Linked DNA regions of Oreochromis niloticus. The protein of the gene in region 4 interacts with the protein of the main gene of each other region in a biochemical or structural test. Links are inferred from orthologs where the notes say so. Each region holds a gene or a part of one and is shown on either strand. Other genes may lie near its edges. The genes, in order: ezh2, ccdc88ab, hspb1 and akt1.

What was found.
Region 1: of the proteins of akt1 (region 4) and ezh2, one has a biochemical effect on the other in vitro, tested with the Homo sapiens proteins (2 studies listed by BioGRID). The link is inferred for Oreochromis niloticus from reciprocal best matches to the Homo sapiens genes AKT1 and EZH2.
Region 2: the proteins of akt1 (region 4) and ccdc88ab form a complex in vitro, tested with the Homo sapiens proteins (2 studies listed by BioGRID, with this or other methods). The link is inferred for Oreochromis niloticus from reciprocal best matches to the Homo sapiens genes AKT1 and CCDC88A.
Region 3: the proteins of akt1 (region 4) and hspb1 form a complex in vitro, tested with the Homo sapiens proteins (3 studies listed by BioGRID, with this or other methods). The link is inferred for Oreochromis niloticus from reciprocal best matches to the Homo sapiens genes AKT1 and HSPB1.

Annotation. Positions count from the first base shown.
Region 1 is NC_031974.2:2,280,591-2,288,598, reverse strand, and holds the start of ezh2 (histone-lysine N-methyltransferase EZH2), read left to right. Parts: upstream 1-4,529; 5' UTR 4,530-4,948; intron 4,949-5,129; exon of another isoform or gene 5,130-5,307; intron 5,308-8,008. UniProt on the Homo sapiens protein: Polycomb group (PcG) protein. Catalytic subunit of the PRC2/EED-EZH2 complex, which methylates 'Lys-9' (H3K9me) and 'Lys-27' (H3K27me) of histone H3, leading to transcriptional repression of the affected target gene.
Region 2 is NC_031978.2:10,540,801-10,548,467, reverse strand, and holds the start of ccdc88ab (girdin), read left to right. Parts: upstream 1-4,494; 5' UTR 4,495-5,115; coding exon 5,116-5,178; intron 5,179-5,274; coding exon 5,275-5,375; intron 5,376-7,667. UniProt on the Homo sapiens protein: Bifunctional modulator of guanine nucleotide-binding proteins (G proteins). Acts as a non-receptor guanine nucleotide exchange factor which binds to and activates guanine nucleotide-binding protein G(i) alpha subunits.
Region 3 is NC_031975.2:6,936,068-6,944,015, forward strand, and holds the start of hspb1 (heat shock protein beta-1), read right to left. Parts: upstream 3,466-7,948; coding exon 3,075-3,465; intron 1-3,074. Other genes in the region: srrm3 (serine/arginine repetitive matrix protein 3), read right to left, coding at 6,613-6,892. UniProt on the Homo sapiens protein: Small heat shock protein which functions as a molecular chaperone probably maintaining denatured proteins in a folding-competent state. Plays a role in stress resistance and actin organization.
Region 4 is NC_031983.2:8,882,159-8,890,490, reverse strand, and holds the start of akt1 (RAC-alpha serine/threonine-protein kinase), read left to right. Parts: upstream 1-4,773; 5' UTR 4,774-4,928; exon of another isoform or gene 4,929-5,204; intron 5,205-8,332. UniProt on the Homo sapiens protein: AKT1 is one of 3 closely related serine/threonine-protein kinases (AKT1, AKT2 and AKT3) called the AKT kinase, and which regulate many processes including metabolism, proliferation, cell survival, growth and angiogenesis.

The DNA.
Region 1 (8,008 bases), on a different chromosome or scaffold from region 4:
ACGCTGCATGCTACACTCTGTCCCGCACTCCATATATTATGATCTGCAGACAGCTGTTGTCACGAACGTCGCACTCGCTTACGTCACTGTCATGAGACGTTCTCGCAAAAAATCACGGTTTTAGTAACGCAGTAACGCAGCGTTCCTACGTGAAAGTAACGGTAATCTAATTACCGTTTTTGCAATAGTAATCCCTTACATTACTCGTTACTTGAAAAAAGTAATCAGATTACAGTAACGCGTTACAAGTAACGCGTTACTGCCCATCTCTGGAGAGGACAGATGGTTTGAAAGAGGAGTGAAAGAGGCCATCTATGTCCACTGTGAGCGACCATCTTTGAACAGAGGCGGTGGTTTACGACACCAACTGTCTGCCATCTATAATCCAGTTTTGAGTTCCCTCCCCAGACGCCTTAACGCCCACTCACATCCTGGGCCATCTGACCTCAGGAATTCACATGACAAGGTGGGGCCAGGTTTCACAATGAGCTCACCCGAAACCCTGGCTGATTAGGTCCCACACCCACTTTCACACCTTGGCGCATGTGATTAGAGGATCACCAGGGGGTCCTTTGTCCCTCCTTGGGGGGATACTCCCACTGGGTTTAAATCTGGGACTCTCGGCCATTTGACCTTAGAACTGAAGAAGCTTCTCGGATGAGAGGTGAAACGTCTTCAAGCAACTTAAAGAAGTCCAGACGCTTTTCTTTGCAAACTCCTTTGACTACGATGACCTGGATGACTGAGAACCTTCACAGACATGTTTTGTAGTAGTTAATATGTCATTTTTCTTAACATAATTGGTGATATAGGTTACAAGCAAGTCTGGCGCTGAACAGAAATTGTCGCGCTGCTCCTTTATTTATTGTGCATAAATAGTGAATTGTCCTGACAGAATATTGCGTTTCGCTTCTGTTATTACCACGGTATATTGACAAAAACATATACTTTTATTCACAGGATAAAACAGTTGTTTTGTATCACTAATTGTCCAGTGCGATTACAACATACAATATTATTGTCACTGCTACATTTCTGTAATGCGTACCAGAAATTATTTCCACTACTAATTAATTACCGTTGAGCTCAAAGGTTATATTAATAAACGGTTAACGAATGTGTATTTATGACGACGATTTGTGAGACTGGTAAACTTACCTTTGTTTTTACGATGGTCTTGTGTTCTACACAGTGCATTTCAAGGTCCTGTACCCATCCGTCGGTAAACTGTACCTGGGCTTGTTGCAGTGACCTGAAGTTACTAAAAACTTCATGAGTGTATGCACTCACTCCAAGAACCGTATAATTATAAATCTGAGCGTGGTGAAAGTTGGGCAGCACACTGACGTCTTTTGTCCACTCTGTGTGCTTGTAAGGGTCTGACCCTTTCACTCCTTTGATTTTTTCCTCGTATCTTTTCTTTGCCTTTTCATCGAGTCTGTCTTTGTACGGTCCGGCATTATTCTCCTTAGTTTTGTACATTCCTTTTGTGTGCGGCAAAGAAAAACCAAGAATGTATTGGAACCGGAGAATGAACGTTTTGCGGTGCTGCAAATGCTTGCATTTGATGCGGTACTTGGATCGTTTTGCCTCGAGTTCCCGGCATGCATTGCGCGAAAGTCACGTGATCTGTCAATCGCTATAGGAAAAACCTTAAATTAAGACCAAGAACCCTAGAGGTGAGACATGATCATTAATTAATATTAAAATTAATAAATGACAGATTTAGTGATATTTTCATAAACACCTCCTTTCCTTTTTTTGTTCTCCATTTTCTTTAGTTCGTCTATAAGATTGCTAAACAAGGGGGAGGGTGCATCCGGCCTCCTCGGCTGTAATTGGTCCAGCCCAGAGTCGATCATGACCAATTGGCCAATCCAACACCTTTCATTATATATACCCTTCCTAAAAAAAAAATTTAAAAAAAAAATCCATCGGCCCATAAAAACAAGAAATCGCCAGCGGCCCACCGGGCAAATGCCCGGTATGCCCGATGGCCAGTCCAGCTATGGCTTCATACCTTTATATGTAAATATGTTCTCACACAAATAAATAATATGTTATTATTAAATATGTTTAATAACATAAATATGTTCTCTGTATAAAGAGCTAACATCTCCAAAATGTCAGCAGTAGTTAGTCATTACAAGAAGTGTTTTTGAGCTAAAAATCAAGAATGTGGGATACTGTTTGTCGGTGATTTGGAGAGCCCAGCGCTGCTCTTGACGCAGGGGAAACTAATTCTGTCGAGGAGACCTTCCTTGGCATTTATGCAGGTGAAACCAGAGGGAAGACATGCTTCTTCATATTTTCTAGTCTTTGGCTTGCAAGGAAGTTTGTTTGGAAACATGTTTGGCGATGCTTCATCTCCTGCTTTGTGTTTGTGTGGAAGCCCCGTCAAAAAAAAACCTGACCATTATGCTAGTAGTGTCCAAGAGTTCTTTTTTCTTTTCATTTTTTTTTTATACCGCACTCCCCTGCAATGGCTCTGCGCCCCCCACTTTGGGAACCTCTGTGCTGACCAATAAATAAATATAATATCTTTTTATAGGATGTTTATACACTCAGATTCTTTCACTACCTGCTCACTAACAGTAACAACACTATCAGTAGCAGCATAATCGGTTTTCAGGAAAATCACAAAAGTCTTTCTCCACTGAAAACAAAACAAAAAAATATTTGGACCTTTGAGAATCTAGAGTCTTATTTTTATAGATAAGTTAACGGAATTTAAACAAAAGCCTGGCAGATGGAGCTGCACCACCGTGACCACCAGAGGGAGCTGTTGTGAGATCCCACACAGATGAACATTAGAACAAACTGTCCTGTCAGTAAAGAGAACACTGGAGCACCTTACCAGTTATAAAGCAGCATGCTCCATTTCCCACTTTTTAGGGATTTTCTTCCCAACTTTTTTTCAGAAACAGTGCAAAACAAATACAAATAGCTGATGCATTATTGTCCCTCTCATGGTCTTATTTCTAATCCTGTTCAGTCTAAATGAAATTAATAACATCTTCAGCTCGGCCTCCTTTCTTTTTGTCACTGCCATCATCCCCCACATCATCACAGGTCTCGCTGTCATCTTATAAACCTTCCCTTTCACTCTTGATGCTCTTCTTCTGTCACAAATCACCCCTGACATTCTTCTCCACCCACTCCACTCTGCCTGCATCTCTTCTTCACCTCTCTTGTGCATTGTCTGTTGCTTTGGATGGTTGACCCCAGGTATTTAAAGTTGCCCATGTCACTATAACACACAGATCACCATTGTTTTGTTGCCCTCATACATGTTCTGCACCACATTCATATACTTCTCTGCCACTCCTGACTTCAGCACGCACCATTACATTTCCTCTCTTCCTCCCTTCCTTCTCTATACTTCTCCATCACTCTCAAAGCAAACATCACATCTGTAGTGCTCTTTCTCAGCATGAAGTCATGCTGCTGCTCATTGATCACCACCTGTCTTCTTATTCTAGTATCATCAACGTTCCATTTCTTCATGGTATGGCTCAACAACATTATCCCTCTGTGGTTGCTACAGCTCTGCACATCAACCTTCTTCTTAAAAACAATACAAGTACATTTTTTCTCCATACCTCAGGTATCCTCTCATTCTCTCCAGGATTGTGTTAAACCATCTAGTTAAAAAAAAAGTCCACCACCCTCTCTCCTACACATTTCCATCAGGTATGTCATCTGGACGACCTTTGCACTCTTCATCCACTCTGTTTACCAGGTCACCTAACCTATTAGTATTCCAGTCTGCTTTCCTCATCTCCCTCCCTAGTATTATTAAAAGTAATGTATAACGTATTTAAAAATCAATGCATTAAAACATTCTTATAAATTTTATATACATTTTTTGTACTACTCTTAAAGATTTGGAATGATACATAATTGTTTTGTAATGATGCTTTTAATCTGTCTGCTGTGTTTTCTGTTTCCGCTGGCAGTGAATGCATCATGCGGACATTTTCGAAGCGTCATCCAATCGCTGCTTGGAGGGGCGTGGCTTAATAAACTTAGAGACCCTTGCCCTTGCTGGTTGTGGCACTGTAGTCTCTCATTCATTCAATAAACCCGTTCAGCCTTCATGTTTTCATGTTTCCTTGTTCTGGACACACTGAGACGCTCACACACCTGCTGAAGCCTGAGCTGTTCTGCACGAGACGACGCGCTGTCTGTCGCCTCTCCTCTGCCCTTAAATCCGTCGAAAACCTTTTTTATATAAGTGTTTTAGTTTAGCCCCACGGCTGTGACAGCTGTTATACGTCAGAGACACCGCTTTGATTTCAAATGTGATGCATAAATATTATTAACTTAACTGTCAAATTGTGTATTTGCATATTTTGGTTTTTATTCCGTTGACAGGAGAGAACAAAGAGAAGCTGTCCACATGTCCCCGCTACAGGGCCCCCAGCTCAGCTCCAAATTTCATTGGCTACACGTTTATATCATTCGACCTATCGCGTAGGACTCACTGAGGAAACACTAACATCGGGTTCTGTGATTGGCCTAGACGTTTGGCGCCTCTTGAATCCGCCGCAGCCGTAGTGGGCGGTGAGGCGGAGGAGCAGTTTGAACAGAGTCGCTGTTGCTTAGGCGGAAACATTAAAATCCAAATAACTTTTTACAAGCAGGCTGACACCAAACGGTGCGACTGTCCCTCATAGACGCACAGCTTCTGTGTCCTAACCAGCCTTGGAGCGAAGGAGCCGGTTTGAGTTATTTTATTTGCCGGCTCTGGGTGCGTGAAGCCGGGTGTCGCGCGAACTCGGTCGCTCCCTCCTCCTGAGTTAAACTGCTAGCTAGCCACCGAGCTAACGTTACAGCTAGCCGTAATACGGAGCGAGCTAATCTGCAGCACAAAGGACGACTTTGCCCGTGTTTGTCGCATCGATCCGGATCGCTCCGTTGGATGAGGCCAGAGGCTCGGGTGGAGGTGAGAGAAGCTGTCAGTGTCCGTGGCTGTGTTCACGGGGCTTTTGTTGTGGGCTGCTCTTTGTGCTCTTGGGCGCCTCAATCTTTGTTAACTCGCCAACTGTTAGCTAGCTCGCCGGGGTACCGTGCCAATTCTTGTATCCCCGTAAATATTGACTAGCTTATAAAGAAGCCGTCGTCTTTTTTTTTTTTTAAATCACTCGGAGGAGGGTAATGATTCCGATGGATCCACCGTCCACTCGTGTTTTGGGACCTTTGTGAGCCTGTTTCTGAGCTAAGGGGAAGCACATTTTGAGGGGAGCCAAACTTGGCACGACATCCGCAAGCTATCGTTAGCTCGAAGCTAGCTCACAGAAAAAGGCTGGTACAGTTTTTTGATGTATAATTTTTAGTACCTCTCATTTAATTTTCTTTCTTTTTTTGTTCAAGCTTTTGAGGGTTTTATTGTGAAACTGGGGCTGAAGGTGGTGTTAAAAGTGAGTGTCACCTTAAGTTAGGAGATTGTCACATTGATAAAAGTAAAAAAGCTTCCCTCTTGTTTGCCTAGAAGCCTTGCGGGGGCGATATTCAACCACTTCCCTCACTATAAAACTCATAACATCGCCTAGATCAGAAGAATAGAAGTTTGTGCTGCTGACACATGACAGGAAGCTCGAGTTTCACCTGTTAGTCAGAAGTCATCTTGAGAGTCATGTGGCAGGTTTTGGGTAGAGCCCGACCTGTGCTGCTGGGTTTGTGAGGGGAGACAAGCTTGTTAGCTTGGTAGGATGGTGGGGTTATTGTGCTGTTTATTTGTAGGTGACAGTGGCTGCTGTTCATCCACAGACTGTACATAAAAGAATGATATACAGTACTGTGATAAATTAACTCCCCCCTTCACAATTTCTTATTTTTTTCCATTTGTCATAGTTACTTATTTCAGATTGTCAATACATTTTTATTGTTAGACAAAAGATAACCTGAGTAAATAGAAAATGCATTTTGTAAATGAATAATAATAATGATAATGATTTAATTTATTAAGAGAAATAAATCTATACAAACCAAGCTGGTCCCTTGTGGAAAAAAAGTAATTGCCCACTAAACCTAAAAACTTGATCTGCAACTCTTGAAGGTCAAATGTTTGCAGTGATTTATTTAAGTCAGGACTTTGACTAGGCCTCTCCAAAACATGCATTTTGGGTTTTTTGAACCATTCATCATCATCATCGTTAATTTGTATAGCACTTTAAAAACACACCCGGTAGACCAAAGTGCTGAACAATACAACAATAAATAATAATAATATAGAAACTTGGCAAGACAATAAAATTAATAAAAATGTCAGTCACCCACAGAGTTAAAAGCCAGAGAATAAAAATAGGTCTTCAATCTGGACTTAAAAACCGGCACTGATGTAGCCTGTCTAATGTGAAGAGGAAGATTGCTCCAAAGCAATGGGCCACAGCAGAGAACGCCCAGAGGTGGACTTGCTGGTGTGTTGGATCATTGTTCTGCTGCATAAACTAAGTGCCCTTCTCCTCCAGGATTTTCTGATAGAGAGCAGAATTTATGATACCATTAATTATGGCAAGTTGTCCAGGTCCTAAAGCAGCCCCAGACCATCATTAATACTGCCACCTTGTTTGAATATTGATAAGATGTTCTTTTGATGATGTGCCGTTAGTTTGATGACAGATGTAACAGGAATCAAAGTTCTGCTTTTGTCTCATCGGTCCACAGAATATTTTCATGAATTCTGAGCTCACCAGAGACAAGTGAGGCCTGCAGTTCTTTAGATGATGTTCTGTTTTGTTTTTGTTTTTTTTCCTGTGACAACCTGGATGAGCTGCCAAGTAATTTGGAGTAATTGTGGTAGGCCATGCACTCCTGGGAAAGTTCACTGCTGTTCCAAGTTTTCTCCATTTGTGGATAATGGCTCTTACTGTTTTCGTGAGTCCCAAAGAATTAGAAATTTGTATTCCTTTCCAGACTGGTAGATGTCAGTGACTTTGTTTTGCAGCTGTGTCTCTAGACTGTAGCGTGATGTGTTGCTTTTGGAGATCTTTAGCCTACTTTACTTTGACAAACAGGTTCTGTTTAAGTGATTTCTTGACTCAACAGGTCTGGGAGTATTCAGGTTTGGGTGTGGCTAGTGAAAGTGATTGGGACTTTCCAAAAAATGTGATTATTCCCAGTTTGTTCATGACTTAAAAGTGGGGGCAGTTACTTTTTCTGTTCTGAGGTCAGGTAATATGAAATTTGAAATTATTTTTGTAAAACACAGAGTTCACATTCTCTGGAACAAAAAGGAGAGGAAGCATTCAGTTTGTCATCAGTTCAAAGTCTGCTTCCATGATGATGTGGGGGTCCACTCGTGCCTATGAAACTAGAAATATGAACGCTGAGCCCGGTGCTGAAGTGGCCTGCCTGCAGTCCAGACCTTTCTCACCATAATTCATGCTCAACATTTGGAGGATAATGAGCCAAACAACACAACCAAGACCATCCAGACCTGTTGAGCAGCTAGAATCCTTTGACAGGAATAGGAAAACATTCCTCTCCAGAAAGTCCAGCAGCTGCTCTCCTCAATTCTCAGATATTTGCTGGCTGATTAGAAAATAGTTTTATAGCATTGTTGGTGATTTTTTTTCTTCCCTCACATCTGTACAGGAAAACCAAGCACAGTTCACCAATCCCGGTATATCCGTACTAGGGTTGGGCGATATGTAAAAATTTTCCAATCGTCAGTCCAACAATCTCTGATGGGCGATATATTCGCGCATGCGTACACTTTTTGATGGGTGGGGCAATGTAATCATGCAGGAACTGATTTGTGCGTTTACAACACAGAATACAACGCGGCTTGAACGCGGTCATCACAATTACAATTTTTAACACTCTCAACCCATCTGGAGCGCAGAACGAACAAAATTGGGACAAACTGCCGAAATGTGTTGATGGGGACATTTCAGGGATTTTGACTCAGTCTGGGATCCAGATGGGTTAATTGTTAAGCGCGTTAGTCATGATGACAGCGTGTTAGCACTGACAGCGCAAAAAATATAAAGTCGCCATTTTG
Region 2 (7,667 bases), on a different chromosome or scaffold from region 4:
TAGATCTTTGAAAATCAATTAAATGTTGCTGTAAAATATTGTTGAATATAAAAACGATTAATACTCTATAAAGAAAGTAATAGAGAAGGCCTGCGAGTGATGTTTGATGAACTCCATAGAAATACAAAAATGCTAAAAGAGTAGGAACAGCAAGAGGCAATACAACAAGAGATGCAGTATAAGCTTCAAGATAAGGAAGGAAAAAAACCAAGTGATGCAGTGGAAGCTCCAAGTCACAGAAAAAATAACAAAGGCTTGCAAGTGATGTTTGATGAAGTACCCCCAAAAAATACAGCAGGGACAAGCAACAGCAGGAGGCACGGGGAACATATTGTTAGAATATTTTGGTTTGAGTGAATGAGTAGAAATGGAGGAGGGGATAATGAAAGTTGATCCAAAGTGGATATTTTTTCATTTTTTTATCAGAAAAAAACACAAAAAACCTGAACTGCTTCTACCTGCCATGATGGTGTCCCCTAAAAAGCAGAAAAACATTTTGTACATGATCAGCAATTTATTCAGACAGATCTGTGCACGCTTCACATCTTGATGTCTAAAATAACAGTACTGTGATACAGAAAAGGACTGCATCGTCAGGTAGACTTTGCTACAAATATATATTTCTTGTTCTTATTACTCCACTTTGACCCTTGAGCTTCCAACAAATTCATGCAGCCAAAACAGTTATTTTCCAGCACTGAAGCTACTTCCTGCACCTTCTTTACAGCACTACAAAGGAGTGAGGGTAAATGTTGTTTTGTCTATATGTACATTTCAATATCTGAAAAGCTGATTTGATTGATAACACTGAAAACCGTTCAAACTCAAAAAAAGGAACTTTATTATTTTTGAATATCTGCTTGGGTAACACCCATATTCAAAACAATGACTCTCATACATTTTTTGTAGTCGAGTTATTGCTACAAAAATTTAAAATAATATAAAAAACAACAACAACAAAAGCAAAACACAATACTGTGTTCTGACATTGTTTCAGACTCTTGAGTCTCTAATTTGGGAAAGTTTGCCAGCTTCCAGACTACTGTACTTTGAATGAATACAGTGTTGGTCAGAGTCTCTTGGGATAATGGTAGCTGCATGTAGTGCACAGATCACGCCAAACATGACCGAGAAGTTCATCAGCACTTCTTGGGAGTCCTCCACAAAGTCACTTTGAATTATAACAGCCCGGAATGAATGAGAGATAGTCGGATGGTAAATTGATTAATGAAGTGGGCAGCACATTTGGTTTCTAGTAATATCAGACATTTTTGAAAGACTGATTTAATAAAAAGTACAAAACAAGAATCCTGGCTTTCAGGATGCTTCTTAAAACATATTTGCCTAAAAAAAACAAATTAGCATTTCCCTGCATGGACATATTACTGAAGATTAACTTATCTTTTTTTTAACTAGTTTATGTCACTTACCTAACAATTACTTCTGGCCTTAAAATTAAGGCCTAAATAATAGGCTAAACTAAATAAAAGATGAATGCAAACTTTGAGTTAGTAGGACTGGTTTTTAATAAAAATCTAATTTCCATTACTTAATTTAGTTAATAACATTGAATATTTATTGCAAAATATATCATATATATAACCATATCCACTTAGTCTTCATTAAAGAAATTAGATTGTAAGGTTAAAGATCAGAGCACAAAATGATCATATCTGAATCGTCACCGTAGAAAGAACAATATGTTCTTCCTTCCTCTCATGTTTTACTGATACAACTCAAGAAATTAAACTACATTTTCAGAGACTTTAAATACATTTGAATATAAAACAGGTATGTTACCAAATTAGCACTTCAGTATGGACGATCTAGGATACAGAGGGATTTATTTCAAGCCTCCAAAAGGAACTTTTATAGTGCAAATATAAGCAAAGACACAATCAGACATTACATTTTGAAACATGTCAGACTGTTACCAGTTTCTGCTTGGAGCTTAGATCTAATGAGCATTTTGTTGTATGCTAGACATAGCCCATCTGTTAGCAGCAGAGCCTCATTTAAACGGCTAATGCCCACATAAAGATGCAGACATCCATGTAAAAGATAAATAGAGTCCTTTTTTTTGTTTTGTTTACATTAGATTATCCAGCTGAATATTGTGCATTAAACAACTTACATCGCTTCAGCTAAACATGTTTTGCAGGAAACAAGAGACAGCCGGTCCTGTCACGAACACACACTGTATAGCCCCAAGCTAAAGCACCAACAACAGTGACCGTTATTCTAAATGGAAATTATAACTTCTGCTTATTCAAAACAGCTGCTGAAATGTGCTGAGTGAAGGTTTTAAGGGACTATATATACAGTAAGCTATTCATTCATTCTTAAACCTGTTCCTTGGAGGTGATTCAGGTCTCTGGTTCCCAAACCAGTGATTGTGTTTTGATTGGCTATTTGGCCACATTGCCTTTGCTCCCTCTGCACACCATCAGAGCCATTTATCATTTGTTGATTAGGTGTCTTCAACCTCTATAGTGGACTTATTTCTAAGTCATCACTTTGCAAAATAAAAAAATATTGTGTGTTTAAAACTCCTGGCTTCATTCAACAAACTAACCAAGTTAAGTTTAGTCAAACACATTTATCCATCAGTCATTTTATTATTTGCTGCCAACACTGAATTTATTGATTAGTATCTCACAGTCTTCCTAAACCAAACTAACATGATCAGTTCTGTCCAGCCCACTCAGATATTCCACTGCTATAAAACAGAAATGCTGGTAACATTTGACAACTTGTTTTACAAATATCTTGAATGATTCATTAATTATATAAGTAGCAGATTATTTTTCTGTCAAAATCTGACCTTGAGTAATCATTTGACCTTTCACTGAATAGTATGAGTCACAAGTTATCTTAGAGCTTCAAAATTAGCCATTCATAGCTGTTCAGACATTTACTAAATCATTCAAAGTCATTTAAAAAAAACAAATGCCAATAAAAATGATACAACCTCATTCTGTATCATTATGGATATTTTTAGTTTTATGGTCTTTAAAGCAGACCTGTCTATTTCTGTTAAATTTGTAATGTTACAATGGTGAATGCTCAACTAATGATAGAGGCATATGTAGAAGTAATGAGCCAAAACCTCAAGTTTCAGACTACTCTAACTCGCTCTATTTCACATACTTTTTCTCCTACTCTTGAGTATGCATGATGTCACTGAGACAAGATAATATTGTCATTACAGACCCATCCACCTGCTACTGAGCCTGTGTTTTTATTAGGGATAGCCAATCAGAAGAAAGTTGGGTTAAAGGGAGGTAGATGCGAACTAAAGTACAGATGCTGGATGAAATGAGGGACTGTAACAAGGCCCAGCATAAGATTAATCAGGATTGTTTCTAAATAATAATAGACTAGAGTTCAAGAATAGCAAGAAGATCTTGATAGATTGTACCGTGCATCTCTACATTTTATTAAAAATCCAAAGTCTCTGATAACTTACAAAAACCAATATTGGTTTATCTTTCTCTATGAAGCGATACTATTTTACACTATCGTACCCCTCTTTGTCGCCATATCAATAGTTACTAGCTATGATCCTCTAAATTGGCCTTTTTTTGATGTGACTAGAGTTCTGACAGATGTGGGGACAACAGTGTTTTGTTAGACATGGAATAATTTTCAGGAAGACCTTAAACTTAAACAAGGCTATAGCTATTGGTGAATTTAAATCATCATATGGATTGCAGAAAAGGAGACGTTTCATTATTTTTTTTTTTAGAGGCCACTAATGTTTTATGTTATTTGTTTATTGCATATTAATTGTATGTATGTAGACCTTGTATTTTTTGTTGTATTTGTGGTATTTGGGGGATGTTTTCAGTATGTCTGAAAGCTGCATTGGCCAAGTCTCCCTTGTAAAACAGATTTGATCTCAAAGGAACATCCTAAATAATGCTGAATAAATAAATAAACAAACACAAAGCTGGAAATGAGCACAAGTCTCCTTTAATAAACCAAACAAATAATTGATTGCAGAAAGATTATTTTATATATTTGAAACGAATCATATGTTGCAAATTTGATGGAACAGTTTCTTTGATTGACAGATACTACACCTCCAGACTTTACATTACCCACCAGGTGTCAGTAGCCTACATGTCACTAATGTACTGCATGCTGCAAATGCAGACAAAGAGTATGCCTGGATCCCCAGCATTTATACATGCCAGTGGATTAAATAAGCACAAACTGGAACCAAATGTGCCACAGCATGTTAGAAATCATAACGCTGAAGCTGCAGACAAACTGGTTTTCAATGAAAAACAAACAATTTGCTTCTTTGATACTTAAAATGATCTTAAGACAGTTTAACTGCGCTAGATGACTAAGTGCTTTCTACGAAACATGACTAAGAGCATGAAGTAGTCTGAGCTGAAAGAGATGCTTTGATCAGTGCCCTACTTTTCTTGGGCTACAGAGGCGCTGAGGCGGAGGGAGATGCACGCGAGAGGCAGGGAGGGGGGCGGTCCTACGCGTCCTCGAGTCATCCTCCCAAGTCTTGCGCTCAGTGGTGTGCAGTATTTGAACAGAGGCAGACAGGGGAAGCAGAATGAGTGGTTAGACATGACCTTAGAATAAATATGAGGAGTAACCCGACGGTTTCAAACATCTGGATTTCCCTTTGTGTTGGATATTTAATTTAAAAGGACGTGTTGGAGGAATATCGCCCCTCACCGTTGGACTCTATCTACCAGTTCCTCAGCATAAAACCATACCTGGCGCAGGTCTCCTTAATCTTATTTGTAGATAGATAGCGAGCCCGGCTGGCGACACATTACAGAGTACCTTTATTTAAAGCGCTTTAACAGAAAATGTGAATCCCTGCCTTCTCCGTGAGGGAGCCGAACCCCCATCGTTGGCATCTGAAACAGCTGGCTTGTGTCTAGAAAATTGTGGATTAACGATTTTTTTTTTTTTTACCCCTTCTCCCACCGAACCTCGGACGTCTTTCAGTGGCCTGTAGCCACAATGAGCGTCGATTTAATTGAATTAACTACATGAGCGGTGTCTAAAGAAACGCGTTTCTCTCCGATTTCAAAAAGGGAAAAAATCCATATCTGCTGAAATAAACGGCGCCAGGAAAATATGGAAAACGAGGTGTTCACTCCGTTGCTGGAGCAGTTCATGCTCACACCTCTGGTCTGCTGGGTAAGCTCCCTAATTAGCTATTCAGATGTGTCTTGAGCTCGCTAATTAATCACCCCATGCTGTTCTTTTATTGATTATCTATTGTCCACTTTTCAGGTGAAGACGGTCGGACACTCGACGGTGACCGATGGCACCAAATTATCGGAATATATTGAATTAGTGGATGGCATTTACCTGAATGAGATAATGCTTGAGATGTAAGTAGTTTGCGGCACACATCCAGAAATATTACCCGTCATTGCATTAACAAGGGTTACTGGGTTAAACCTTAAACGTGTTATGTGCATATAGTACCCATTCTGTGTGGTTATATGTATGCATTTTGGTCAGTAAACGGGGTCTGTGGGTGTGGAGGAAGGTCAAAGTGGTACTCACCCTGGGGGTTTTTCGTGGGGTCGTCCCCTCATGAGCAAATTAAGCAACTGCAGCCTCTGTCCGGCGCTTAAAATGAATGTAGGCTAAGCACAAAGGGACCTTGTATTGGGGTCAATGATGGGTCGCACTGTCAGAAATCTTTGCAGACAGTTATTGTCGGGGGTTCTTTAGAGCTCCGCAGATTGTCTGCAGGCATGTTTGCTGCAAAGATGCGTGCGTGTTTTCTTTTAAGTCACCCTACACTGTCATCTGCAGCCGACTGGAAGACACCCCGCCCCTGGAAGCTGCAGCCTCACGTTTCCTAGTAGAAATAGGGCTACTATTTCTATTAAACTAGAAATAGTAGCCCTAAGAAGACTCGCTGTAGCAGCACAGAATCTGGATGTTGACTGCACTGCAATGCAGCAGGCCAACATTTGGTTTACATTCAGCTGAAAGGGAAGGACTTGTTATGTATTGGGAGTTCTGTTGATAGTGAGAAAGGTTGGATGTTTGATAAGGCAAAGGAATTTCATGTTCAGTTTCTCTTTCCACTCAGCTACTAACAGTGTTGGGAAGGTTACTTTTAAAATGTATTCCACTACAGAATACTGAATACATGCCCCAAAATGTATTCTGTAACGTATTCCGTTACGTTACTCAATGAGAGTAACGTATTCTGAATACTTTGGAATACTTAATATATTATCATGCTGTTTACAACTACATGAATGTCCTATTGCTGTGATTTATTACTGTTACTGAAGGTCCGCGGCTCCGAAACGTAGTAAAGGGACCTCTGGCTAATACCGTGGGTTCGTGTTGGGCTGGTAGCCGAAAACTAGCTTTACTTTGTTGTCTGGGTCAACTTTGCTTGCGGGAGACAGAGAGAGGCGTTGAAAGGCTGCTCCAACGGAACTTATTTTTTCCGGAGGAAAACACGACCACGGTGTACAGTTGAGTCTTAATAGCTTACTTACAAATGGGCTCGTCAGGCACTCTTCTTGGCTGCTGTGGTTATTATTATATTTACATGCTTCCAGCTCCCGTTTTTGCTCCGTGACAGCTCGGACTTTTCCTTTCTCTCCCTCCCTCGCTCACAGACACATAACGTGTATGGCAGTCCATTCTCCCTGCAGCACGGACTACACTGCCCATCAGGCTACATGCTTTAGAGCTATGCCTGTAGCATTCTGCCTTTTAGCTTAGCACAACAACAACAACAAAAAAGCGCTCTCTCACCCAGGAAACACGCAGAGAGAGAGCGTCACCCTGTAACCATGGCAACCGTAACGCTGCCGCCTGGAACAACAGAACGTAGCTGTCAAACAAACCCAAACAATCCTGACCCGCGACAATATGAAACAGGGAAGTACCGCTGTGTATTCCATTTATTTCAACAAAGTAACTGTATTCTGAATACCACCTTTTTAAACGGTAACTGTAACGGAATACAGTTACTCATATTTTGTATTCTGAATACGTAACGGCGGTACATGTATTCCGTTACTCCCCAACACTGGCTACTAATATATATATAAAAAAAAAAAAAACACCCAGCACGCCCCTGCGGGCGGTTTATCCTTCAAGCTCGGGTCCTCTACCAGAGGCCTGGGAGCTTGAGGGTCCTGCGCAGTATCTTAGCTGTTCCCAGGACTGCGCTCTTCTGGACAGAGATCTCCGATGTTGTTCCCGGGATCTGCTGGAGCCACTCGCCTAGCTTGGGAGTCACCGCACCTAGTGCTCCGATTACCACGGGGACCACCGTTACCTTCACCCTCCACATCCTCTCGAGCTCTTCTCTGAGCCCTTGGTATTTCTCCAGCTTCTCGTGTTCCTTCTTCCTGATATTGCTGTCATTCGGAACCGCTACATCGATCACTACAGCCGTCTTCTTCTGTTTGTCTACCACCACTATGTCCGGTTGGTTAGCCACCACCATTTTTATATATATATATATATATATATATATATATATATATATATATATATATATATATATATATATATATATATATATATATATATATATAAACATGACAGAATACCGCTTTTCGTTCCTTTGTCTGGCTCCTGGCTGGTACTTCCCGCTAGCAGGACAATTTTTCATATTTTCCGCTAATGCTACACTCCAC
Region 3 (7,948 bases), on a different chromosome or scaffold from region 4:
GAGAAATAGCTCAGGAAAAAGTCTGATCTAAGAATAAATAAGTAAATAAATTTTGACACATTTTCCCCACCCTTTTGCAAAACAGTTAACACGGATGTCATTCAAACAGTCCAAGCCCCACTGTGTTAGCTATGGTAACCAAACAAAAATCACCTATTCCTAACTATTAGAATCAGTATGAAATCACTGAAGCACCTGTTTGACACTTCTTCAGACAAATCTTTAATTAGCAATATGTTTGCAGGCCTTCAAAGGTGCACACCTGTGTTGTTCTTTACTAGCATGGATGGAGGAGGTCTAAGGCAGATGAGAGTGAGAGTAACAGGTAGAGGGGTCCGAGGAAGAGACGTCTGTGTGTGAGTTGGAGGTGTAGTTGGAAAGGCTCAAGTTTCAGAAGAAATTACGGGCAGCTGTTATCGATCATGCTATCAATCATGGCTTTTCACTTAAAGAGGCTGGACAAAGAGTACAACCGCTTTAAACAGAAACACTGTAATGTTGCTGTGTAGTAATATCTTCAGCAATATACTTCATGTAATTGTTTCCTCATTCCCATTACATGTATTCTTTATAGAACTGCCGTTCTCTGGTGGAAGAGGGACAATTTTCACGCAGCCTTATGGCAAACAATGCCATAAGGCTCCGTGAAATCAGGGCAGCAGTGATCGCAGATCAGGAACCTCAACAACGTGGGCCTGACCACCACTGACCAAGTCTTGAAAAGCAACCATATTTCCATGAAGCAGCTCTACAGAGTTCCATTTCAAAGGAACTCTGAGGTTGTGAAGGAGGCCAGATGCTGTAATGCCTTGTCATATCATTCAGTTAAAGTCAACTGGAGTCACTTTTCATTGTAATTTTGCTTTTACTCAGAGAAGAATGGAGCTTGAAGCTGAGGGGGCACATCATGTCTTCATTTATGTTGATGAAGTCGGCTCCTGTAAAGTCAGGAGTTGTGGAAGGAACCTCACTGGATACAGGGCCACTTTCATAGTTCCAGAACAGAGGGGTACCAACATACCCACGTGTTCTGCCATCTCCAATGATGGTGTCCTATGCTATATCCCCACTATTCACCCATACAACACCGAAGGACTCATGACATTCCTGAATACACTTCATGAGAGGCTGATCTAGCCTGAGGACAGAGGGCTGTTGAGGACTGTCATGCCCCTCTTCGCCATTATCTGGGATAATGTGGCGTTCCACCAATGAGTGGTTTACAGTACACCCACATATAATGATGCAGTTCCTCCTAGTATGTGCCCCATTTTTGAATCCCTTAGAGGAGTTTATTATCACCATCCCTATGAGCAGATACCCTTTCTGAATGCAATGACTGCTGCAGCTCAAGAAATAGGTGAGGAGGAATGTCAAAGTTGGATACGGCATGAAAGAAGATTTTTTCCTCGGTGCATTGTGAGAGAGAATTTTGAGTCTAATGTGGATGAAGCCTTGTGGCCAACTCGTCAAGTCAGAAGGGACTGAGTATCAATAGCGGCTGTTTCTTATACTGTAATAGATTTTATTTTGGTTTACTGTATTCATTTTGCATTTATGTATTTTCTGTAACATGTACAGTATTTCAGTTTTCAGCCAGTTTGCATCAAAGCATTTTTGATTCTGGATCCCACTGAGCACTGCATTTTGTATTTTGTTGTCCATTGTGTAATGATTGATTGGAAAATCTAATATACTTGTTTGCAAATTGTGTTGTTTTGAAAGCAAAATTAGCTTTTGGAGGCATAAACAAAATGTGTCACTTTGACCGTCAGTGCCTCTGTTAGGCCTGTTTGAGTTGACTGCTGCATGACAGCAATCAAGAAAAGCTGTAAAGCACTAAGGATATACATACATGTCTTCATAGATTTCTAAAATGTTTCATAAATGATTTTTTCAGAGAGTTTTAATTTGCATATATGTTAGGTTAACTCTAAAACTCATGCAGTTCAGTGCTACTGAACCACACCGGCCACTTAAGATCCTCACCAGACTTAATCAGCCTCTTGTATCTCAGATGCCCTGCTATGAAGTTGAAACGCTGCCCTTCATTCTGCCTCTGAATACAGTAATATGTTTGTTGTGACAACGGACCGATAAAGGTTGCGGTCCAGAGAGTGGTGTCCCCTTTTTAACTGGACCAAATTACTTGTGTAACACACACTTTTTCAACAGCTAAATGAAGGGTCATTAGTTTTGAGCGACAGCTAGAGAGAGGTCGCACTTTGGTGTGTTTACAAAATTCTTCATTACACTGTCGTGTTTAAAATATCATCCTGGGTCACTGGTGATACATGGGGTGGAACATGGGGTGGCAAATTCCACTTGGATTGAATCTTGTGCTTTGTTTATCTCAGTGTTTATGATGAGGTCCAGTCTCTGAGCGGAGAGACGTTGGGTACAGTCAGGGACTGAACCCTGGACCTGGACAAGATCCAGCAGTCCTTTTAAAGTAGTGGACCTACTGGTTGAGCTGCAGCTAAATCCCCAGCTCTGAGAATGGGATCCTTTGTGAAATAGCAGGCAGGGAGGCCGAGATTCACTCAGAGAAAAGAGAGCACAGGGCTTCAGAGAACTAAGCTGCTATCTGATCAGTTCCACACTTTCTTCAGGTCTGCTTTGCTCCTGCCCGTCCTGGATGGACAGTGAGGCTGTTTTAACATTGTTTTCATGCCTGAGCTTCTTTAAAAGTCAACTCCCACATTTTGAACTGTGTCTTGTTTTGCGTCCAGTGGGCTTACAGTCAAACCCCCCTGACCCTCCCAACTCCCTGAACACATTACTCTATTGTCTCAATATGTTATGTAACTATGTAACCACCTCATGCTTTGTTCAGTTCTATCAATTTTTGTTTTACAGAAGAAAAAGAGACACTTAAGAACACCAAAGTGAGACAGTGTGCATACCAACCAGTACAGCTGTCTTCTAAGGATAAAGAGATGTAGGTGTATGATAAAGTGTGTCACTCAAGGAACATCTGACTGGAATATGACACATTAGGTTTCAGGACATAAAACACTATGACCTTTAAATCATTCAATAAGGAGAGCGACAGAAATCAAATAAGTGCTCACCCGAGATTTCCACCACGCCATCTTTCGTCTTCACCACCAGCTCCTCAGGTGAGAAGTGGTTCACATCCAGCGATACTTTCCAGCTGTCTTGGGTCTGCTTGATCTCGGAAATTCCGCTGCTCAGCTGGCGGGACAGGGCCCGAGCCTGAGCCTGCTGAGCCATCATGTGGGTTGGATACATCAAAGGGGCATGCGGTGTCATTAGTTCTGGGGCCAGGATGGATGGCCTCAGGTACCCTGGCCAGTGGGTGCTGGGGAATGCGGCGATGTCCTCGGGCAGGGCGGGCATGCCGAAGGTCTGGTCAAAGATACGGCTGCTCTGGTGCCAGTCACGAAATGGGTCCCAGCTCGGAGTGCGGAGCAAGGTGAAAGGAATACGTCTCTCAGCCATGATGATCTGGGTATTTCTTCTAAGCTTCAGAGGAGTGTTGCTGTGTGCAGATCAAGAGCCCCTTGGCCTCTCTGGAAGTGTTTTCTTAATGTGCTGTCTGCCTCTCAGCTGAGAGCTTTTATACCCACTGATAAGGGGTGGTCCCTTATCAACCGAACCCTCCCTTCAGACTCAAGCCCAATACCTCATGCCTCCAGAATGTTTTAGGAAAGCACTAGAATATCTATTTGTAGCGGACGTAGCACTGGAATGGAATTCAACAGGAAGGCCCTCCCATGTAACAGCTGCCCAATGCCCTGAGTGCTGTGTGTAAACCCCCTTCTCCTCTCCCTGTGCGTCTCAAAGAGCCAGAAGAATCTGGGAGGCTTCTGTCAGTCTACTTACAAGCTAACATGCTATTTCTAACAACACTATGGTGTGCTATGAACCCAGTCAGCCCTGAATGAAATACACAGTGGAATATCAGTTTGGTACATGAATGCAAATGACTTGACTGCATTAAAACTGGAGGAAAATCCACCATGTTCACACCTGCCTATTGATACTTCATTGTCACAAAGAGGGAATTAACAAGCTGTAGTGTCTCAAGTCTTCTGTTAACCTGACAGTCTTTCATTGTTTACTGGATTAGTTAGTGCCGCGTGATACTGCAATTTTGGTATCGATCCGAAACCAAGTAAATACACGGCCAGTATTACTAATACTAGTACACATATTTTTAAACTATGAAGGCAGTTTATCTAGGGGGGAGTAGTATGTCATGATTTATGAGATTAATTGCCAGTTTCCAAAATCTGAATACATTTTAATGACCACTAAATCATCATGATTTTTACTTTGCACATGAAGTAGTTGAAGACCTGGAATGTAAATGTGTCTGTCTCTTAAGCACTTTGGGTCAGCTTCTATTGTTTTAAATGTGCTAGGCTAATTTAAAAAATAGATGTGACAGTGAAATGGAGGTTATGTTAATTTATTTGATATATGGCAAAGTAAGTAAGTATTTGATTTGTGGAAGATTTGGCTCAGGTCTTAGTGTAAGAAATCTAATCCCTCAAAGTTACAGCACAGGATGTGATATCTGCCTCTAAAATAAGCCACGTCTTCCTCTCAGCCCAAGTTTGCCTCGACGTTTCAGTAATTCCCCACAGCTGGAGAACATTCTAGCCTACTTAATAGAGAGAGGCTTCATGTTTTTGGTCAAGGTTCTCATCAGTGCCATCTGTAGGAAAATACATACACAGCACCAACAAGTTATCGCTGACTGCACCTGAAGGCAGAGAGAAGAACTCAAAAACTGGATCATTTCCCCATTTGTTTCTGTTTATTGTCAGGTATAATAACTTGTACAATACAAAGAATGATTTGTAGAATCAAAGGGGCAATGCTATACTTGGAATAAATGGTCAGGCTGCAGAGTATCATAGCTGGGATAAGTGTGGTTACACTGGAAATGCATGTCATGAGACCGGGTGAATGGTAAGGAAGACTTAGGCTGATCCCTGATTGTATCACCTGTTTGTTAACCACCCTCATGGAGGTGCAGACACAGCCTGCTGCCGTGCCTGCCAAGCCATCGCTCATTATCTTTTGTAGCCAGCAACCGGGGAGACCTCTGCTAGAAACGTGTGGCCAATTATACAAGGGACTGAAATATGGAGTGACTGGAAATGTACAGCAGAGTAATAGACTCTTCAGGCTGCTTCAGGCCGAGTTCTCTTCCTCCCTCGGCACAGGCAGAGCCACAGCGGCCCTGCGTTACCATGAATCATTATAACGGCTGGGGACGCAATAATGGCAGTGGTGGGAGTAACTGTGGGTGAACGCTCAGTTCAACTGGCTCAAAAATCAGAGCTCCTTAAACACGTAGCAATGCATCTGTGCACTGCTTGTTGATCTGATAACAGGAGCTAACCTTTGCAATGAGAAACCGATTCTGTATCATAACGTGGACATTTACAGTACTTTTCTCAAATCTGCAGCAAACCCATCTCCAAACCATGATCCAACTGCTTCACAGCGAAATGATAAATACATTAAACAATAAATAACCCAATAAATAAATGAATAAATACAGCAAGTTTCATAAACAGCTGAGATCAACTCACAAATGTGCATGGAGACTTTTTGCAGTATGGTACCATACAGCAGCTCACGTAAATCATTACCTCGTTGATCTTTGTAAAGGAGGTTCACACTCACACACACATACAAACGCGAACACACTCTCGCACAGGATTAGCATAACGAACGTAATGCGTTCATTAACCTCTGTTTGCAAAGGTCAGGGGGAAGGGGGAGGGCAGATTCACCCTGCTGGCACCTATCATTTCCATCAGGTTCCTTGACTCTCTCCTGATGAATCATGCTGAACATACCTCTTCAAACTATATGGAATATACAGTGCATAGTTTACAAAGCCAAACTTAAGAGAGTTTACATCTGTACAGACAAATCTATGCAATACAGTTTTCTTCTAAAAAAAGAAAAAAAAAAGTTATTTTTATTTCTTTTCCTGATTCATCCTCTGACTTCTCTTTTGTTCTCTTTTTGTTGATCTGTGTGCTTGGATGAACTGGAAGTCTTTGGGGTTGATGATTACATGATGAGAGAAAACGAAGTGATTCTCTGAAATGTACAGTAAGCTGTGTGATTTCGATGTGTCTGCCTTCTTTTCGTCTTCTTTTCGTCTACTCAGCCCCTCTTTTCAGGATATATTTGATATATATCTATATATACTTATATAACTGTTATTAACTGTTATTGAATGTATTTTTGGTAGCTGTGTGGAAGATGAGAAGGAAAGTGCTAACATACATTTGTTCTTTGGGCTCAGCCAATTCATTTTAGACACGTAAAAAAGAAAAAACCTTTCCTTGAATGTGTGAGAAGACATGAACAGTGACAGCCAATTTCATGGTAATGTGCTATATCAAAATACATTTTCCTCTCTTTGATCCAGGCTCTGTGTTAGAGACAGAATGGTCCATGGTGAAGGAGTTTGGATCCCGGGCTGTACAGCAGTGCGGCCCCTGCCGAGGACTTGCTAAGGATACGTAATGAATCTACCGGAGTGCAGCAGGTTTAACAGCACTTCTCCTACTTTTGTTCCTGTTTTTTTTTTTGTTCTCGTTCTGCTGGTCGCCATCAGAACCCCGGGCTGTCATAGCTGCTGCGGCTGTAATAACTGTGGTGGCTGCGGGAGCGGCTCCTGCTGCGACTCCAGCTCCGGCTCTGGCTGCGACTCCAGCTGTGGCTGCGGCTCCAGCTCTGGCTCCGGCTCCTGCTGTGGCTCCTGCTGTGACTTCTGCTGCGGCTGTAGCTGCTGTAGCTGCGGCTGTGGCTGCGGCTGGATTGTGACGGGCTGCTGTCGTAGCTGGAAGATGAAGGACTGGGCCGGTAGTATGGAATCGGCCGCTTCCGAGCGCTGGAGGAGGGGGAAAAATAAGGGTTTGAACAGTTAGTCCTATGTCCTAGTCCTATTTTCTATGGTTATACTGTTAAATCTGATGTTAAAGCAAGATTAAGGCAATCAGTGTTAGGTCACAGAATGGTGACGTGTAATCAGTACAGGATCTGAAAGAGAGCAGCTATGTGGGTTAAAAAAAAGCTCTTCAGCCTCACACACACACACACACACACACACACACACACACACACACACACACACACACGTATAGCAGAAAAATGCATGTGTTTAGTTGAAGTTCAAGCTTAGATTGCCTTGTTAATAGCCACCCTGGCCACCCTTACTTCCTGTAAGGTAATTAGCCGTTAGTTCCCTAAGAACCTCATCTTCTCAGTGGAGGCCAACACCCAGAAAATAAAAATCAAGAGTCAGTGGTGCAGGGAGAGATAAACGCTATCAAGGTATCCCTGCTGCTACGAGGTACATTTCACGAGCAGCGCTGTAGATAACTCAACCCCAGCTTTTGTCTTCTACATTGGCTGTGGGAATCAACAGTGTGAGCAATAAGGTGTGTGAGGGAAAGAGGGGGGCTTCCACTCTAATAAACCTTGATAGCGCTTTAATCTCTGCATCCTTTGTGTTACAACAGTAGTGCAGAAATACAGCAGGGTGCGGCTCTAGAGCCGGAGTGAGTTTCAGGAATGAGATGAAGAAGCAGAGAAAGGACAGAGGAGGAAGCCCAGTTTACTCATGGGAGCTCTGATGAGTTGCTGCTCAGCCAAACTTCAGTCACGGTATCAGGGTCCTGCTGCACGGCAACTGTTACCGGGGTGACTAGCCGGCAGCAATTGGGTTCAGCAGTAGCCCGTTGTCCTGGTGTCGGGACCTTTAAGGACTGAAGTGAAAGATGACAAAGTACACACATTTTACCCATGGCTATTTACACTCGAATGAGAAGGTTGCAGAGGTAACACAGGGAGAGGCTGAAACACATTTCACCTGCAGGTGGGACTTTCTTCTTCCTCTGTTTGTCTGAATAATTAACTGCACCTAAAAGCATTTCTATTGGTAACA
Region 4 (8,332 bases):
TAATTGTAAAGGAAATGCTGTCACGCTCTCTAAAAAAGATGCCAAGAGAATGGATGATTTCTCGTTTGTAGCTGAACACCCGACAAACTAAATGTTTAGTCAGATGTGTGGCACATACAAAAAACAATTTACCATTCAAGCACTGATGCTTACACAAACACTCCATCCAAGCAGGAGCAGTGATGTGGATAAGAATAGGAGCAGTGGCCCTGTGTTTCCCTGGCCCTGGCAAACGTAGGCGCCCAGTAGAGGAGGGGTGTGTGTGTGTTCACAGGGCAAGACAAAGCAGTGGTTGTGCCTGGGGACTGTGGCCTCAGCAGAGAGAGGCTCGGCACGGTGAAGGTTCTCACACACAGAAAAAAAAAAGATAGGGAAAGAGAGACAGAGAGAATGAGAGCGGGGGAGTCGGGAGAGAGAGAGAGAGAGAGAACACTTCCTGGAGGTTCATTCTTCTTCTCTGCAATCATCAATGGCATTCTCTCCCTGACCCACTCCTCTCTCAGACAAACAAAAGACCCCGCATTCCAGTGTAGCCTGACTGGCCAACCAGCCAGAGTTGAACCACATCACTCTCCCTGCTGGACCAGAGTCTGATCATAGTTGTGGGTTTAAGCTGTGCTGGTGGTGTCTGTTTGAGGGTGTTTATAATGCATCTCCATGCATAAGGGCAGTAAAGTTTATGTTCTTTTGAAATGGTTTTAATATTGGGGAGAGTGATGTTATTTCACTCTCACTGGCCATGCAGATTTAATCAAATTACCTTTTTTTAAACAGGTGCATCTTTTATGTAACTGGCAGAGAATTCAAAACAAAGCTTTGCAAAACCTTTTAACCCTGTTTTTAATTAATAATAGCACAACAGCAACAAATTCAAAAGGCTGCGATGTTATGGTTTTCTTTTGTTTATTTGAAACATATATGCTTATGTCTTTAAAAAAAGTGGGATAAGAGGATGTTTGCCACTGTGGTGTTGTGAAACCAGAGAGATCAATTACTGCAGTTTTGTAAGCCAAATGTATTTCTGGGCTTGTTTGATATAAGATTTCAGCTCTTTAGCCATTCGGGGCCTTCTGCTTTGTCATTTTAGTTCTGTAATTTTCCACATTTCCAGTTTCGGAGTAAAGTCGGATTGGTTTAACACCTGGATTCTTTTACTGTAGGGCCCCGCTGCTATAATATGTCCAGTAAGTGGTCTAGTGTCATCCTCCTGAAAAATACATGAGTGGTAGCACATGTTCTAAAACCCTGCATATATATTCATTCAGAATTAATGGTGATTTTAAAGATGTGAAATTTACCCGTACCCTCTGCATCCTGTGCACAAATTCACTTCCTCAGTATCACAGATGCTGGCTACTGAACTGTTTGCAGATCATCTGGATGGACTCTCTCTCAGCTGGGAGGACACGTCTTCCATTATTTCTGAAAGGAATTAAAACTTTTTAACCACAGTACAGTAATTTGGTTTTTTACTTCAACTCAGTCCATAATAAAGGGGTTCAGACCCAGAGAAGTCAGTAGCATTTTCCATGTTGTTCATAAGTGTTTTTTTCCTTTGCCTTTCAGAGTTTAACTTGGAATAAACTTAACTTTTTGAATAAAACAATAAATGTATGTCTGTTCGCTTAATAGTTTTCAAAAGTGTTCCTTTTGAATTTTTACTTCAGATTTTCACTTCAGAATTGTGTTTGTTTCCAATGCAGTGAGTGTTAGTCTTTGGCCTAGTCCTTTGCATACAAAGAGTTCCCTGCGATGTCTACCTCTTTTAATAATATTGCATACCAAAGAAAATTCTCAAGTTCATGAGTTGCAAAATTTAATTCAATTCAGTTTTATTTATATAGCACCAAATCACAACAACAGTCGCCTCAAGGCACTTTATATCGTAATGTAAACCTCCTACAATAATAAAGAAAAAACCCATCAACAATCAGACAACCCTCTATGAGCAAGCACTTGGCGACAGTGGGAAGGAAAAACTCCCTTTTAACAGGAAGAGACATCTAGCAGAAACAGTCAAGGTAGCAATCCTTAAAATTTTCAACTATTTTCCCATGCAGTCCTTCACAGATGTTTCACTCTCTAGGAGGCCAATTTTACAACAATATTTTATATTATTTGCCTGTTGCCAGTCAACCTAACTGTAGCTGTAAGATGAGCCACCAGATGTTTTAGGGGTTTTCTATTGTTGTCCCTAACTTTTTTGGAAATAGGATGCTGGAATCACGTTAAAAACAGTTGCCAGCTTTTAGAACCAATGCTTTAATAACTGATAATCAGTTGTTTGTGTGTATCTTCTAGGAGTGATTTATCACAACAGCTGCACTGGTTAAATAAAATAAGTGTCCCTATATCACTCACATACTTTTAGTATCTCTTATACTGTTCTGTACTGATCCTGCTGTTTTACACGCAATTTATACAACAATAGTTGTGTGATTCTTTTGCTTTGTTTTTTTTAAATATTACATTCATCTAATAGTGTAATAGTTTAAGCAAAATTGCTTTGTAGTTGACTGGAGATGCTGTTTTGGTCAGCTTCCCCACCGCCCCACGTATCCATTCACCCAACACCTCCTCCATATTATGGCCCTCCTGCCCTTCTGTGTCTAATTGTTGTTACCGCGTGTTATCTATTCTCCTTTAACGGGCCATTAAGTTCTGTCTGTACTGTTTGTTGTACTCTAGACAGATACTGCAAGTAGACAGGGATCAGAGATCAGATGAGCCTTTGATGGGAGAGATGCTATTAACTCACTTTGACTTTTTAATCTTGTTACTGTTACGTTTGATCCCGCAAAACAACAGAGCGGGCATTCCCATCAACAGGCCAAAGAGAGTGGGTGGAGGAGGAGGAGGAGAGCACCAATGAATAGCAACTGGAGAAAATATGGGATACCCTAAGTCAGCTTTGCCTGTATGACAGGAACAGCTTGGCGAGGCTGACACATGGTAGCAGTGAGAAACACATTACAGCGTGAGTGACAAAGAGGGGAAATGACAGCAGAGGAGGCTGAGAGACAAAGGGCACAAGCCAATGAATTTTTCATCACAAGAGGAAACATTGGCAGCTTTCCCCTGCTATCCTGTTCTTTTAATATTATTAAGTCATTATTGCGGGAATTGTCACATGCACTGTCTTGCTTTTATAAGTGATACATATATTTTACTGCACTTCTAATGCTGATTCAACTTTGAGGCAGTCAACTACACCATGCTTGGAGATAGAAAAATAATGGAGGGGTAAGACGTAATGGACGTGAAGAGGGTCGTGAGTATCACAGTGTAAAGCAAGATAATGGAAATGTTAAAATGGGAGGTCTCTAAAATGTTTTAGACTTCTAGTTAGAAACATTTTGATCAAGTATACCCAGTCATCTGAGGGCGTCATTTGATACATAGGCTCCCTGACTTCTTTTAAGCAGACTGAGCTGGCCTGTCTGTACCTGTCCAAAACTGGTTTAACTCCTACCTCTCCAGTGGAGTTCTCTGTAGCTGTAGATGACGGTTTATCTAACACAACAGGTAAAAGTGTGGCATGTAATCATGAACAACCCTCAAGATTTTTACCTTCTCGTTCAGCTGTTTCATCTGGTATATGCAGTTAATTTAAGAGAGTATCTGCATGAATACAAAAAGATCAGTGGCAAGGGCTAAATCAGACTAAATACACTTCTGCAAACACATTCTTGTGTTCAGCACATCTGCTTTACCCATTTTGAGGTATTTTGTTTTAAGTGTGTCAGACTGAGACATTCTCACACTTCATGTTTAGTTGGCATTTCCTGGAAATGTCAGAGGCCCTTCCACAGCAACTTGAAGAGAAAGCGTGTACCAGTGCTTTTTGGTACTGGCAGATGTGACTGGAACCAGGTGATCGAATGTGTAAAAGTCCACCACCGAGCCTGATGCTTTAGCGCTGACGTGCAACAGAATGGAAGCAGCAGCACATCCTGCTTATGGTTTCTTCTTTAGTAGTGATTTTAATATAATTTTACTAGATTACACAAGGCTACACATGTGTCTGAAAGAACCATATCTGAAACTAGAGCTAGAGCTTCACCTTTTAGAAGCACAGCTCTTTACACAGTTTTAAGGTGCATAACCTTTTGTTTTCGTGGTTTTGATTGGTTGGTTGACCTTATTTTGGATAAAGCTTTATTTACTTTGACCTAATTTCACTTATTATAACTGTATTTCCATGTTAACAAGTTTACCCATCAAATACAACTTGCTTGAAACAAAGACACGGTGACAAACTTGTACTTTTCTTTCAGATACAGCTGCAGCTTAACTTGTTTAAAACCCTAGAAGGAGTTTTGTGAACATAAAATATTTTATTGTAATATAATTTTAAAAGTTATTAAATAACAGGGCAGATGTGAAATGACAAAATGATAATAACATACTAAATGAACCAGTTTAGCTCTAAAAAACGTTTTTCTTAGTCTTTTCTTATAGCAAACTTTGCAAGACTGTAATTTTGAACTTTTGTAAGGCACTAATATACAACATCTGGACTAACTGGGAATATCTGTGTATATTTTGTGACCAAAAAACATGTAATCAAAAAGACAAAAAAAAAGTAATACATAATTACAGATGATTGATGACTAGAAGCACCTTTTGCAACCCTAATATAGCTCATCGCAGAGCAGGTAGAGCAGGTACCAAAATGTAATTCTCATCTTGTAGCCTGCATTACCCTTGTGGTTGTTCCAGGAAGTCAAAAAAACCCACCTAAGTACACTTAATTGAAGCGAGGATCCCTTGAAAAACATACAAGGTCCTCGGCAGGTCCCCGAAACCCATTTTGGAAACCACCGGCACAGATAAAAGAGCAGAGAGTTCAACAAGGCCATGCAGAAGAAGCACCACTGCAGTTTTTTTTTCTTCAATGGGACGCCTGACAGCCTACTACTCCTTCTGTGAGTGTGACTCATTTAAGGGCGGCTTTAGGACCCGGGAGAGACGGCTGCCACAGAGGCATTGCAGACAGCGCGTTTGGGAGGTGTAGTGGAAGAAAGGCAAGAGAAACGGAGTAAATGAGAGCACTTTGTCCAGATTGTTGAAGGACCCGTCAACTTAAAACACCGCCGAAACAGCTCACTATAATGAGACGGACACATTGTTGAATTCCTGTCCAGGTAAATGTCCGCGTTTCCTTCGCATGGTTAACTACAAGAGTTCGACAGCTAGACAGGGTAGGTCCCCATTGTACTTACATGGGATGCGGTTATTCTCACCCAAGCTGCCCTGCTAGGCCCCATATCCTTTCTAACGCTAGATGCAAACCTGAAATGAGGTACTTTCCTGACTTCACTTCGCCGTAAAAAGTTGTCTCATGACGAAAAAAGTCGACGGCTCATTAATTTCCTGTAGTGAATTCTTAACGCTCGGTGTTTTTCCACAAACAGCAGTGAGTCTCTTTAAGATGTTAACCATTCATTTTTTTTTTTTTTTTGACAATGACCACTTTTGAGACACAACCCTCGGGCCAAAATATCTGCAGTCAAGTCGCTTGAAACGGTTCTCCTCTTTGCGGGAAAAAAGTTGGGTTTTTTGGCGTTGTGCTTTATGGTCCTGGAGGGAAATGAAAACAAATGAGCTCAACAAGAGAGAGCAGCTCATTCATTGTTGTGAACTACCACCGCGTTTGTTTACTTGTTTGAGTGAGGCATTTATTGCCATCTTATCTTTAGCCATTAGCTTTGCTGCCTGCCTGCCGAGAAGCTGCTGTGGCCACAAACAGTGCTGCTTTACAAAAAAGAAAAAGTTATGCGTCTATGTTGTGACTTGTTGCCACGCGTTTACTTTTTGGTCCACAATTTAGACACAGACGTCATAAGAAAAAGTCCCAACAGTGTAATTTAACGCCCCCCCCCCGTAATCAGTACAACGGCATAATGCCTGTGGATAAGTGTGTTTTGATAGTTTTCACTGGCCTCACTGCTAGCATCCCACCTACAGTAATGACAGTTGTGTAGGTCTGCACTCAATAGTTTTTTGTCTTAAAGGTTTATTATTATAGTATTCTTATCAAGTTTGAGAGATATCAAGTGATCAAGGGCATAGAAATCTGATGGGCTTTCAAATTTCAAAAGGATTCTTGCAGGATACAAGGCTTGCAATCATGTTTAAAACTTATTTTACTAATAATACTGTCTGTCTCCTTCTCCCAGGGTGCATGCATGTACTAAAAAGAGAACATTGTCCCCGGGTGTGTTGTACCCACCATGCCTTCAGTGTCAAAAAAAAAAAATGTTTTTATCAGTCATGAGACTACGTCTGTCCACTGTGTGTGTACGCAAGGGGATTTGGCATGTGACCTGGGGAAGACGCAACAAGCTGGCGCAATGATGCAGCCAGTGACTGCTTGGCTCTCGCTGTTCTGTTTAGAAAAAAAACACCCACCTCCCACCCAATCCCCTCGCAGCAGCTCGGTTGACGCAAATCTGCCACCAGTTGCATGCAGAATCTGAGGAATGTTGTTTGAAATTTTGTCCAAAACAGACAAACAGGGGCCTGGATGCATCACCAGAGTCTGGATGTACTGAGACTGAGAAAGAGGTGGTTCTCGTACCGGTGTCCCGGACGTCACTCTTCTCCATCTGTGTCACAAAAACTGAAAACAAAATACTTTTGTTTTCCTTTTGCTTTTCTGTGTTAACTTTCCAGCCATTGTAAAATGATTCTCATGAGGTGTGATGTGTGTGTGGGGGGGTGGTGGTGATTTGAATAAATTAAGCTTTGTGTTGCTTTTACAGCTTGTCTGAACAGCCTGAATATGATTACATTAACATGAGTCATAAAGTGGTTGGTGTTCGTGTCATCGTAGGATTAAAGCGGCGAGTCTGCTTGCCTTTCAAGGTTGCAGTCACTGCGGTTTTGTGTTCAGTTAAAGCTGCCCGCAATATTCTTATCAATAATGGTGTGCTTTCAGGGAACTTGAAAGAGGAACTTGGTAGCGTAGTAGATCACCGTAATACTGGCTCCACTGTGGTATTTGAGCTCAAACTAAAGTGTTGCTTTGGTGACTTGTTTTTCAGCAACAGGTTAGCGTGATGTCATTTCTTGTGTTTTTAAATACTTTCAGTGTAATGTTTTACTTTTGGAACCAGAAACCATGTGGTAGTTTTTCTGTTAACCGAGCAGAAACTGAAGCAAAAAATGGTATCTATTAATCTGTGATGAAGGAAGTAGCGTGGTGATGTCGACCTGATTTTTTTTTTTTTTTTTTTTCTTCTCCCCTGCTTCCTGCTATAAACACATGGGACTATCCTCTCTGGCCCAGTGACAAGCTCAGTGTGTGGCAACTTTTGCTGCATGACACTGATTTGCATTGAATGGGGTGGCCCCCGGCGTTGGAGCCAGAAAGATGAATGATTGAAAGCCGCCCTGACATCAGGGCAGGCAGGCAGGCGGTGGCCCAGAGGCCTGAGGACCATGTGACCCGCTGTCAGGGTACTGGGTTCATTCAGTGGCTGCTGGCTGCAGCGCTGGCAGCGGCCCAGCTTTTTCCACACAGGCCGCAGTAGCAACAGGTCGCTCCCATTAAAACAGCAGCGCTCTGTTGTGGCTCCAGAGCCGGTCTTGTGCATGTGTTGCTTTTTTGGCTGCGGCGTGTGTGCGCTCAAGTTTGTTTGTGAGGTGTATCCCAATGTGTATATAATGTGTGCGTGCCTGTGTCACAGAGTCCACACTAAGATGCCGATGGGATCCAACGGTTTTTGTGATCCTTACTTTGAATTGCACTCTGTGTGCTTCCCTTTTTTTTTTTTTTTTTTTTTTTTTTTTTTTTTCCTTCTCAAATCCCTCTCCAGGATCCTTCCAACATCGGCTGTGTGACACAAGCACCACAACCCCAAGTGCAATAAACAAAAACACTGAGCGAAAATAAACTTTGGCTTCATAAACTTACTTTTGCTCACTGATGGAGGGGAGCAGAGTGGCAGTAAAAGGTGTTGATTGCACACTCGCTGCCAGATGTATTCGAGCCTGAGGCTGTACTGATATGACTCGTTGTCTGTCAATAGTCACATTCACTTCCTGTTGTTGTCCCCACCAGTTAGCTGGATGAGGCCACTCAAACAGAGCTCTCTTTTGATGGCCCAGCTCTGATGGAGCAGCAGGGAAATTGATTTCAGCCGATGGTCAGGGATCGCCTGGCGCAGTATGTGACATTTATGTGAACAAGCATTGCAATTGATCATCTTTTGGCTGCTTCCCTTTATTCAAAGCTATCTTTATATCACAAAGAAATACTGAATGAAGGAAAGGGTCAAGTGCTTTGGTTATGATAGCCTGCAGGTTTGAAGTCTAATGGTAGTCT